Linked DNA regions of Rattus norvegicus. The protein of the gene in region 2 interacts with the protein of the main gene of each other region in a biochemical or structural test. Links are inferred from orthologs where the notes say so. Each region holds a gene or a part of one and is shown on either strand. Other genes may lie near its edges. The genes, in order: Ptpn11, Txnip and Slc2a1.

Region 1 (3,645 bases), on a different chromosome or scaffold from region 2:
GACAGAGTGCAGACCTTTGTGGGTTTGTGCCGTGAGCAGACCTAGGTGACATAAGGCACATGACGGTGGAGGGGAAGAGGTCAAAGTCTGTCTGCAAAGCTCTGGTCAAATGAGCAAGGAGAGAAAGACAGACATACCAGAGGACACACGGGTCAGCAGCATATAAGCACATAGGGCCACAGACAGGCTCACACACAGACAGGGCTCAGGACTGAAGTCAGCCCCTTAACCTTCCTGCTGCCATCGTGTGAACTCATAGCCAGGGCCCTTCTCCTGGCCTCACTCAGAGCACTGAAGCTGTGGTTTGTCTGAAGCCCCTGGGATGGCAGAGGAATTCTAGCCTTGTTTTCCTGGGGTCCTGCCAGTGGTCTGAACCAAAAAGTAAATGGAGCTGCTGGCTCACCTGTCTGAGACCAGCTGCCAACCCTTCCCAGAAACACAATGCCCTTCTGCTTCAGAGAAATCACCTCAGCAACCTGCTGCACACACAGCAAAGGAAGCCAGGCCCAGCACAAGGGTCCCCCTCACCCACTCAAACATCACCTAACAGTGCACGTAAAAACAAGGTGTCAGTAACTTACCTCAAATTCTTCCCAAAAGCCCTGTTTGACTTTATCTGTGGTCTCGGCTAGCTTGCTTAACTCCCGAACCCGGCTTTCGATTTCAGCGGCATTAATACGAGTTGTGTTGAGGGGCTGTTAAGTTCAGCAGTGGTGGAAAAGGGGAAAAAGCATGTTTTAAACAGTATTGATGCAGAAAGAAAGACTTCACAAAAGCGAAGGCGGGAGGTACATCATCCCAAATGTGTGCATGTGCTTGTGCGTGTGTGTATGGTGGTTGTGGTCGCTGAAGTAGATCAGGGCCCCTTCCTGTCTGTCTCTCAGCCACACGGTAATCCCCATGCACCGAGTGTGTTCCCACCATGGTAAACATGCCAGCACAGGCCCAAAGCAACAGGGTCAAGTGGCTGTAGGACCCCTTGAGCCCTCTCCCCTATTAACCAGCCCTCGTGTATCTTGTCATGATGACGCAAGTCGACTAGAACACGCATGTGGGAGACTCCATGGTAGAACTCTCTCAACCCTGAGGAGAAGCAGCTTCCGTTTCCTAACCTGTTTGAGCTGCAGGACTGTGCCCAGTGTCTCCACCATGGGGTTCTTCTTGTAATGCTCCACCAGGTCTGTCAAAGAGTCAAAGCGCTCTCCTCCACCAACATCATATTTCAGCTCCTTTCAAGACCAAACAGATGGCGCCCATTAGCTCAGCTAGGTTACTGTCTTCCACCAACTGCAGCCACCGCGCGCAGTGACACGAGCCTATACACAGAAACAAGCCACACGGCTATCTAGAGAGCACGATGAGAACAAGGCACACACGTACCATGCTAACATACCGTGCTAACATACTTCGCGCCCACGTCATCACAGTGGAGCCACACTTGCCTTTGACAAGAGAACCCTGTCATCGGTAGCAAGTGGATAAGGCAGGAGAGCCTCCTAGTAACTCTAATAAGCCAAGTGCGAAAGGAACACACGATGTCCCCTCATTACATGTAGCATCCAAGGAAGAAAAAGTCCGACACAGTGACAAGAGATCAGTGACTGTGAAGGACTTAGGGACAGAGGAAAGTACTGGTGACACGGTCACGCAGACGCTCAGGAGCCTCAGATGACTACAGTGCTCCACACACTGGAGACTGGATGGGAGGGCGGCAGAAGCATTCTGCAGTGACGGGTACACTGACTCAGCCGACTCGGAACCCTGAACTGTGTCAACTGAAGCCCAGAGACTGACTCCCAGACAGGAAGCAGCGGTGCTGAGGAAGCAGGTGAGGCAGGGGACTGCGGCTCAGTGGTGGAACAGGTGCTAGGTTCCATCCCAGCACCAAAGACAACAGATGACATAAAATGTAATTAAATCAAAATCAGATGTAATGGGCTGGAGAGATGGCCCAGCGGTTAAGAGCACTGACTGCTCTTCCAGAGGTTCTGAGTTCAATTCCCAGCAACCACATGGTGGCTCACAGCCATCTGTAATGGGATCTTCTGGTGTGTCTGAAGACAGCTACAGTGTACTCACATAAATAAAATAAATTAATTTTAAAAAAATACTAACGTTAAAAAAAAAAATCAAATGTAAACTCTATCATGATGAACACACTTCCCATCACCGCCAGGTTCCTCACAGTGCCTCAGCCTGGCATCACTGCTCCCGTGATGTCACGTATGCAGCTGTGATGCTGTACTCTAGGGAATGTGACAAGGAAGAAGTCTGCATGTGTTCAGATAGACACAGGATGCTTTTCTGAAGTCTGCTGACCCCAGGGATGCACTCACAGACCTGGGAGGGCCAAGTGCACAGTGTCACCAGTCAGTAGGCTTCAGGACAGCCATGGATACATACAGTCTATCTCAGAAAAACAAAAAAGCCAACAGAAAAACACAGAACAAAAAAGGAAAAAAACAAGAGTGCTTCAAAATGGTGAGATGCACACAGGATGTGCATGAGCGAGCACAGAAGGACAGTTGCAAGTGCTGAGGTCTCGTCCTCTCAGCAGAAGCCCCCAGTGCAGCCGCAGTGGGCCCACAGTCCCCATGGCGCCCTACCTGACAGCGGATCATGACATGGGTCACTTTGGACTTGCTGTCATTGCTCTCCCCTTTGTCATCACCAGTGCGGACGGAGAGGACGAAGTCCCCAGGGTGGCTCTGGCTCTCCCGGACGAGGAAACTGCCATGCTTCCCCTTCTCTGTCAGCAGCTTCTCTGCTTCTTTTCCAGACAAGTGACCGTGGAACCACCTGTGTGCATGTTTGAAGGAACAAGCAGAGTTCGGCTGCAGGATGCGGCATGCTCACCCTCACTCAGCTCTCCCCAGCACAGGCCCTTGGCTAACAGCTTCCTCTAGGGGGCAGAGTGTCTGACAGACAGAATCTACACCTCAGACAGGAAAAATGACAAAGATATGTTAAAAATGACAACCAAAGTCCAGTTTTCTTTTTTAAGGCAGTCTCACTATGTGACCCAGGTTGGTCTGGAGCTGTAGATCGTCCTGCCTCAGGCTCCTAAGCTGATATTGTAAGCACTGCCATCACTCCTGGCCTCCTCTCAATCACTGGAAAATAATGCCCACCAGACGGTGATGGTATGTATACACCCTGAATCCGAGCACTGGGGAGGCAGAGGCAGGTGGGTCTGAGTGCTAGACCAGCTTGGTCTTCAGAGTGAATTCTAGGACAGCCAGAGCTACATGGAGAGACCCTGTCACAAAACAAAACAAACAAGACCCCCTATATCCTCAATGCTTCCTAATTCCTTTTAAATCTCCCATCTTTGAGAGACACAATTTGACTTTTTAGTCCCTGACCCTAATGAACCAGCTGTGTGTTACAGCCATTTAGGGAAGTAAGGATGTGACAAGCCTAGTTGTGGTGGTGCACACTTACATTTCGTGTGCACCGGCTAGTTTTATGTCTACCTCATAGAAGCTACTGTCATTTGGGAAGAGACATCCTCAACTGAGAAAATGTCCCTACCAGACTGGTCTGTGGGCTCGCCTACTGCGCATTCCCTTAATGATGACTGATGGGGGAGGGCCCGTCACTGTTGGTAATGCCACCCTTTGGCTGGTGGTCCTGGGTGCTACG
Region 2 (4,303 bases):
CCATGATTTCTCTTTTTCTAGTATGTGACATTGGCTCTGTTGCCCCATGGCACAGAAGTTCATGGTCTGTTCTTTTAATTCCCTTCAAAACAAAACACCTTGGAAAGACCATGCCTGAAGGTCACTTAGACCCCGACTCAAAAAAATAACAACTTCTTCATTTCCAACATCTGGGAAAGTGGGCCAGGTCTGAATGTTTTGAGCGTTCCGACATTCACCCAGCAAACACTCCTATATCACGGTGCGGGCACTGGTCTGCACCCCTTGAGGCTGGAGACTTGCCTACTGATTGCCACCCATCTGTGGAGTCAGAGGCGGGGGTGTACCCACTCCCCACTGGAGAGACTGAGTCTCTGAAACATTGGAGTTCAAGCAGAGAGGCAGAAAGCGTTGAGTAGTACAGATGAGTCGTCCCTGAAGGCTCACTGCACGTTGTTGTTGTTGTTGTTAAGGACGCAGGGATCCACCTAGGGGGAAGAGCGAGGAGACTTTCAGATTTTTTAGGTAAGTAGAAAACCCACACGAATCCCTTCCCTCAGAAGGCCTAGGACAAAATCTTGACCCTTAAAAAAAAGTAGTGACTCTCACCTCAGTGTAAGTGGGCGGAGGCATGAACTGGAACTCGGGGGCGTACATAAAGATAGGGCTGTCTTGAGAATCATCCACATCATCTAGCAGGGGGGTGGTGGGGCTCTCCAGTCTGTGATCTTCAGGAATCACGTCCATATAGCAAGGTGGAGCTGAAAAAGAGAAAACGGGGTCAGAAGTCCAGCTAAGAAACTCCCAGGCCACCCCAACTCCACAAGCCCAAGCAGGTCAAAACGAAGAGTTTATTAGCTGAAGCTTACCTTCTGGGGTGTCTGGGATGTTTAGGTCTATCCAGCTCATTTCAGAGCTTGTCCGGCTAGCCATGCTGGATGTCCGGCTGCTTAGGCCCGACCTGCTGCCAATCACTAGGGGCAGATCGAGGATGACTTTCTTGGAGCCAGGGACACTAACATAGATCTAGGAAGGAAGGTGGGAGTTTGTTAGATGGGTTGTGTTAGAGGAGGCACTGACTTTGCACCCAAGCAACTATTTCTCTTCCCTCCTCACTCACCAGCAAGGAGTATTCAACTCTGAGGATGTTGCAGCCCAGAATGGACGGTCTGATCTTCTGCACTCGGAGACTCTTGCCACGCCATGATGCGCAAGTCCCTGAGATAATGTGATTGCCTCTGACTGAGGACAGCTTCTGAGTGAGCACTTTGGTCTGGCCATTGGCAAGGTAAGTGTGCCGGGCCACAATAGCTGCTTTGGGGACCACGATTCGGGAACATGTGTTCTCAAAGTCAGCGTGGATGGAAATGTCATCACCTAGAGTTGAAGAGGAGGAAGGAAGAATATCCATTAAATTTAACAGCATTTCCTCCGCCTTTATCCCACAACCCCCTCCAAACCCCACAGCTGTGGCTATCCTATCTGGTATTATAAGCACTGGGCTTTTACCTTCACAGAATCCTTTTCTGTCGATTCGAGCGGAGACTGACACGCGTCCATCAGGAATGAACATGCAGGAAACTTTCTTCTCCTTTTTGGCAGACACTGGTGCCTGTGAAGAAGGAAATAATGTTTTGAGCTATTTCAATGCCTCATGCATCTAATTCATTATCTCTGACCAAGGAGAATAAAACCTTAAAGAAAATAAAAGAAAAAAGCCTCACCATTAAGTCAGGAGTATTGACGTCCACTAGATCCATCACTTCAAAGTTTTTCTTTGCCTCTTGAGTTGGCTGGCTGGGACGATCGAGAAAAGCCTTCACCCAGTAGTCTACACAGCCATATTTCCCTTTGAAGGATGTTCCCAGGGGCCTGTGTCAAAACAATGAACAAAAATTAATGCTAAGAAATGTGAAATATCAATGGAGGGGGAAGACTTAGAAATAAAGAGTCCATGGTGCGGTCGGTGATGCCTACCCTTGAGGAAGCTCAAAGCCGAACTTGTACTCATATTTGTTTCCTGGTCTCATGATCACCATCTCGTTCTCACCTGCGGGGAAACAAAGGCAAGGGGCCATTAGACTTCTTGTTACATTCCAAATGCAGCATCAGTGAGGAGTGCCTGGGCAGCAGACTGTCTTACTTCCACACTTTCATCTCTCACACTAAGGAATAAGATTCCCCGGGACAGAAAGTTGCACAACCCACGAATACATTAATCTTTACGTAGCTAAGGCAACACCTTCAGGAAACAGCACCCCAGAAACTGTTCCAATTACTATGGGGGGTGGAGGAGGGTAGCGGAATAACTTGCAAATTAAAAGGTAAAAATATAGGGGCCAACAGCTCAAACCATTCAAACGATCGACTCGAAACATTTAGTGGAGGCCCCACCCCCAGCCCCATAAGTCACTATCCGTCCTGCCAAGAGCTGTACCTGTAGGCTGGTCTTCTAGGAGAAGGGTGTCTTCATAGCGCAAGTAGTCCAAGGTCTGTTTGCACTGCTGAGACCCTTGCATCCACAGGACCTTGGCCACACCGCAAGCCAGGATCCTGACGGCTTTGACTCGGGTAACTTCACACACTTCCACTGTCACCCGGCCGGCCACCTTCTCCCCGCTGCCATACACCTTCTCAGGGTCGTTGAAGACCACCTCAAAAGACTTGATCTTCTTGAACATCACCATGATTGAGCCGAGTGGGTTCAAGAAAAACGGAAGCCGGAGAGGAAAAACTCTTCAGAATCCTTCTCAGCAAACTAAGAACTTAAGTCTCTCCGTGAGGCAGAGAGGGCTTAAAAACCCAAAGAAAGCCTCAAACAAAACCTTAACAACTTCTCTAAAAGGTGCCTGAAAGTTTCAACCAGCTGGTTGTGCCAAAAGCTTTCAGGAGAAAAATAACAGCTGTTTTCTCGCAACTGGAGGAACTCTGGATATCCAAAGACCAGAAGAGGAGAGTGTCAAGCGGGAGCCGGAAACGGCATTATATAGCCGCCTGGCTTGACGCTCCACGCGAGTGCTGGCCCGGAGGCTCGTGCATCCCTCGTGCACAGTTCTCCCATTGGCTACTTGGTCCTTGTTTACCAGGCCTCTAACCAATCAGCGAGGCCGCAGAGGCGCGTGGACACAGTGTGCTCTTAGCGGGGAAAATGGTTGTTGTTCGGGTGCGCAGCCTTGCCAGGGAGGAGGGGCGGGGCCTGGGGCAGCGGGTGGCTCCCTCGGGAGTCTGGGACCCCGAGACCCTGAACCTCATCCAGGGTACTCCTCTCGGGAGCTGGGTTGTTTGGGTGTGTGCTTTGTTGGTTTTTTTCCCCTTCTTTTTTTAGGTAAAAGAAAAATGTGCTTAGGAGAGGATTTCATGCCTGTCTTAGCCAGCGCAATTCATTTCGACGTGACCATTTATTCCTGGCTCACAAGTTCGCAAGTCTGTGAAAAACAATCCCCAAGGATACTTCAGGATGGAGCGGAGGGCGAGAGTGCAGTTGTGTTAGTGAGAAAGAGCCTACCCGATGTGCTCCCATTACACTTCTATTGAATAAAACGCTTCCATCTCCCGGGGGCGGGGGACTTGTCAGATATTTTAAGTCTGGCTTAAAGTCCTTATTGGTACATGGTCTGGTGTGTACCCCTTCGTTCCATGCCCTATGTGCTGCTATTGTTCCTCGCCCATTACGTTCTATTCTGTTCTGTTCTCTGGAACGGAAGCAGTAAGGGAGTGTCCACATCCTGTTGCTTATCCCCTCATCTCTTCAGTGTACCTGTGAGGTTGGGGAACATTTTGTATATGTTCCCTTATTTACCTCACTGTAGCTTTAGTGAGGTGTGTACCTTTACACTGATCTCTCCCTTCGTCCCTGCTCCTCCAGGAAACAAGGGGTGGGTACAAACAAACAAACAGGGGGGAAGAAAAAGGAAGAAAACGATCTGTCACTCCTTACTTTGTTCCCGAGTTCCTGTCACTCTTTTTTTTTTTCCCCATTTGTCCTCTCATCAAAATCACTAAATGAAATGCATACCCCTCAGCCTGTTTCAGTCTCCCCAGGGCTGAAGCTGTATTGGTTTCACTTGGCTATTTGGCAAACCTTGCTGAGAAATGCTTCAGGAGCTGACTAGAGAAATAACTTGAGTGCAAAGAAACTCTTGTATGTTGAAGGACTACCCACCACTCCCTGACACCCCAGGGCCCCTACCCTATTCCTCACCCACCTCCTCCCACCTCCACCCCGCCAGAGCCTTGTCATTGAGTCCTAGCCTCCTTCCATATTTGGGCAGAATTATTAGGCGTTTATCTATCGCCTTTTTCCTTGCCCTGGAATATAAAGACA
Region 3 (3,645 bases), on a different chromosome or scaffold from region 2:
GGGCGAGAGGGAAGGACCTCTCTGACCCCATTCTCGAATCTGCAAAACCAGCTCAAATTATACAAGACAAGGGAAGGGCTGGAGAGATGGCTCAGCAGTTAAGAGACCCGACTGCTCTTCCAGAGGTCCTGAGTTCAATTCCCAGCAACCACATGGTGGCTCTCAACCATCTGTAAAGAGATCTGATGCCCTCTTCTGGTGTGTCTGAAGACAGCTACAGTGTGTTTATATATAATAAATGAATAAATCTAAAAAAAAAAAAAAAAAAAAAAAGACAAGGGATAAAGCCACGTATAAATGTGTCTGCACACATGTGGGGGTTGCTACTCTGGCTGTAGGACTAAAGGGTGGGTGGAGGGACCTCTAGAAGAGGAATACCCTACCCATGAAGGCTTCTAGGCCTGGAAGCCCAAATGAAGGCCAAGGGCTCTAGCTGTAGGCGGGTGGGCCTGGGGCTCCTGTGTGCTCTGGGATCTGCCTACCGTGAGGCTGTCCTAGGCAGGGTTGGGTAGAAAAGCTCTGCTCGACTGTGACCCGAGGGACAAAGCTGTGCCAGAGGCAGTGCTGGTCAGGTAGACCCAGACTGGCTTACCTGGGCAATAAGGATCCCAACGACGATGCCCAGCTGGTGCAGGGTGCCCAGGGCTCCACGAAGAGCTGTGGGTGACACCTCCCCCACATACATGGGCACAAAGCCGGTGGTCAGGCCACAGTACACTCCAATGATGAAGCGGCCCAGGATCAGCATCTCAAAGGACTTGCCCAGTTTGGAGAAACCCATAAGCACGGCAGACACAAAGGCCAACAGGTTCATCATCAGCATGGAGTTCCGCCTGGGGATGGGTCGCAGGTTAGCCAGCTCCCAGGACCCCAGGACCCCAGGCTCCCCAGGGATGAGGCCATAGTCAGGGATGTTTCTATTACCAGCTTCCCCCAGAGCTCCCCATGCAGAACGACATGGGCTGGCGTCTTTCCTGCTTACCTGCCAAAGCGATTAACAAAGAGGCCCACAGAGAAGGAACCAATCATGCCCCCGACAGAGAAGATGGCCACGGAGAGAGACCAGAGTGTGGTGAGTGTGGTGGATGGGATGGACTCTCCATAGCGGTGGTTCCATGTTTGATTGTAGAACTCCTCAATTACCTGCAGGGAGAAGAGCCTGGGTAGGTGTGGCCACCTCACCACAGATGCCAGAACTTGGCTCTGCTGCAAACTACTGTGTTCTCCAGCCAGCTCTCTTCTTTGTATAGGTTCAGTGTCCTCCTCGGCTCTCTTCCTAAGTTGTTCAAGACTCTCTGGGGAAGATGGCCAAGGATGACAGCTGGCTTTGGGCACAGAGCAGGAAGGTACAGGAAAAGAAATGCTTCTGCCCAACTGGCCCCTTTCAGATGGCTCCCTGCACACTCTAGGCCACAGCTGTATGTAGGCCCTGGGCCCTATCCCAACCCCCTGCCAGGGAGGAAGGGCAGCTGGACAGACAGGTTATGCCATTCTTGAGCCTGTAGGAAGTGTACACTCACTGACTCTGCATTTTGAGCCTGCAGGACTAAGGGACACGCTCCAAGGCACACTGTCACTTCTGTCTCCCAGGCCCAGCTCCCCTGTGGCTGGCTGGAAACGCCACCTGAAGGAACCAAGGCCTCCTTTCCTTTCCAGGTGCTCATCTGGGATGTTCAGGGAAAGGCCCTAGGCAAGAAAGTGGTTCCAGGAACTGGAGAATCTGTCCTGGTGTGGGCTTGCTCATAAGCCCTGCCCCCACAGAGGGCCTAACCTAGTGCCAAGGATATGGCCATGGGCAGGTGGCACTGGTTCTGACACACTCACCACTGTCAGGCAACACTGACAACACCCAGTGCCACAGGCCTAGCCGGACCCACCCAGCGCATATGCAGCCACAGACAGGCCCAAGTACACACAGGGAAACAACTTTCTGGTCCACACCCTGACGTGACCCAGCATAGCTTGCATTTCACTTCACTTTTTTTCTTTCTTTCTTTGAAACAGGGTCTCAGGAGCTCATAGCAACCCTCCTGCCTCAGCCTGTTGAATGTTAGGATCATAGATGTGAGTGGCTGGGCTTGGATCACATGTACCCATAAGGCTCCCGGTTTCGGCCAGCCACAGCCCCTCCTCCACCATCACTTGTAGCGTACCCAATCCCCACACTGACACAGGTGTACACTGCATGCCCCTGTGCATGGAACAGCACGTGGTCTGCACAGCCACTCGGTATCCAGTCCTGGTTCTAAACCTCAAGTATGGCAGAAAGGAAGGAGTGCAGAAAGGAAAGCAGTAAAAGTGTGTGGAAGTGGGGCAGCCGAGGTCGGTTGCCCTGGTCCTGGGCCCTAGTCCCTCCTCCTCTTTACCCCTGCTCTGTCACAATGGTTTGTGGGTCAAGTCCAGAGACAGAGCAAGCCAGGCTCGATTGGGAAAAGGCAGCCTAAGCACATACTGTATACAGAGTAAGCACCTGCTGTACACAGGGAAGCCAGGCAGCACAGGGATCAGAAGCTGGTTCTGAATGGGAATGCAGTCGAGTTCTCATCCCAGCTCACTCCTTTGCTCCGGGCTACTGTGGGCATGGTGAGCAGCTGTGAGCTCCAACCTCCTCCTTCTCTAACACCGACTTCGGCATTGCGGTCATGCATCACTTAAACGGGGCCCACTCTCTGAAATGTGTTATTAGAGTGCATTTGGAATAAAACTAAATGGTGTGGGTCATTCAGGGTTCTTGATGCAATTAAGGGATGGCAAACATGAGATACCCCAGGATGCTGCCCTGTGTTTAGGGTGTTTTAGGGCAGGCTGTTCTAGTCTGTAGAAGGAACTCACTGTAAAATTATGATTAAAAAAATAAACCCAATAAACTAATGATAGCTACCTACTTCTGTTACCATTTATAATTTTTGAAAATTTTGTTCTAAAGTCTATGTGTTTATCTGTATGTGGGTATGCGCACCTGAGTGCTGGTGCTCATGTGGGCCAGAAGGGGGCGTCAGATTCCCCCAGGGCTGGAGGTATAGGAAGTTGGCAGCTGTCTAAACCTGCACGAGCAATCTGTCTTCTGCACTGCTGAGCAGTCCCTCCAGCCCCTATTGTCATATATGGTATTGTTACTTGAACATGACCGTGTGCTAGACATGTTTCTGTCATAGTGAAGACTAAAACTTGGGGTCCTGGGTACACTAGGCAAGGGCTCTAGTGCTTGCCTGTTTAGCCCCGTGCTAAACTTTAATGACTGGCAGCACAGTGGGTACATTTACAGACCCATGAGTAACGCTGTTATGCCAATGTTGCTGGATCACAGAGCTACTCTTTTCTACCTGGCTTTGTTTTGCGGTGCTGGGGATAAGCTCAGGGCCCTGCACATATTGGTCACATGTTCTACCACTGAGCTACTCTCCAGCTGTTACAGCATGGCCAGTCTGCACACACTGTCACGGAAAGGTCTTTATGTGTGGCACACACTGCTTCCTCTACAGTGCCAGAAGAAACTGAGGAAACACACTTATGGTACCTACACCACATGGTACTGGCCCCAGTTCAGTGAAAGCCACTGTCAAAGTCTGACTACACTTTCCCGCCATAATTCAACATCGAGGGCCGTACCTCGCTAATCCAGCCTCTGCTCCGATGGCCATCTTC

Evidence for each region.
Region 1: the proteins of Txnip (region 2) and Ptpn11 are reported together in a solved structure, tested with the Homo sapiens proteins (2 studies listed by BioGRID, with this or other methods). The link is inferred for Rattus norvegicus from reciprocal best matches to the Homo sapiens genes TXNIP and PTPN11.
Region 3: the proteins of Txnip (region 2) and Slc2a1 form a complex in vitro, tested with the Homo sapiens proteins (2 studies listed by BioGRID). The link is inferred for Rattus norvegicus from reciprocal best matches to the Homo sapiens genes TXNIP and SLC2A1.

What each region holds. Positions count from the first base shown.
Region 1 is NC_086030.1:41,050,072-41,053,716, reverse strand, and holds part of Ptpn11 (tyrosine-protein phosphatase non-receptor type 11), read right to left. Parts: intron 2,800-3,645; coding exon 2,607-2,799; intron 1,230-2,606; coding exon 1,113-1,229; intron 696-1,112; coding exon 582-695; intron 1-581. UniProt on the Homo sapiens protein: Acts downstream of various receptor and cytoplasmic protein tyrosine kinases to participate in the signal transduction from the cell surface to the nucleus. Positively regulates MAPK signal transduction pathway. Dephosphorylates GAB1, ARHGAP35 and EGFR.
Region 2 is NC_086020.1:186,780,486-186,784,788, reverse strand, and holds the start of Txnip (thioredoxin-interacting protein), read right to left. Parts: upstream 2,857-4,303; 5' UTR 2,667-2,856; coding exon 2,417-2,666; intron 2,030-2,416; coding exon 1,957-2,029; intron 1,852-1,956; coding exon 1,704-1,851; intron 1,592-1,703; coding exon 1,489-1,591; intron 1,357-1,488; coding exon 1,100-1,356; intron 1,006-1,099; coding exon 849-1,005; intron 741-848; coding exon 589-740; intron 468-588; coding exon 423-467; 3' UTR 1-422. UniProt on the Homo sapiens protein: May act as an oxidative stress mediator by inhibiting thioredoxin activity or by limiting its bioavailability.
Region 3 is NC_086023.1:138,022,877-138,026,521, reverse strand, and holds part of Slc2a1 (solute carrier family 2, facilitated glucose transporter member 1), read right to left. Parts: intron 1,144-3,645; coding exon 983-1,143; intron 834-982; coding exon 593-833; intron 1-592. UniProt on the Homo sapiens protein: Facilitative glucose transporter, which is responsible for constitutive or basal glucose uptake. Has a very broad substrate specificity; can transport a wide range of aldoses including both pentoses and hexoses.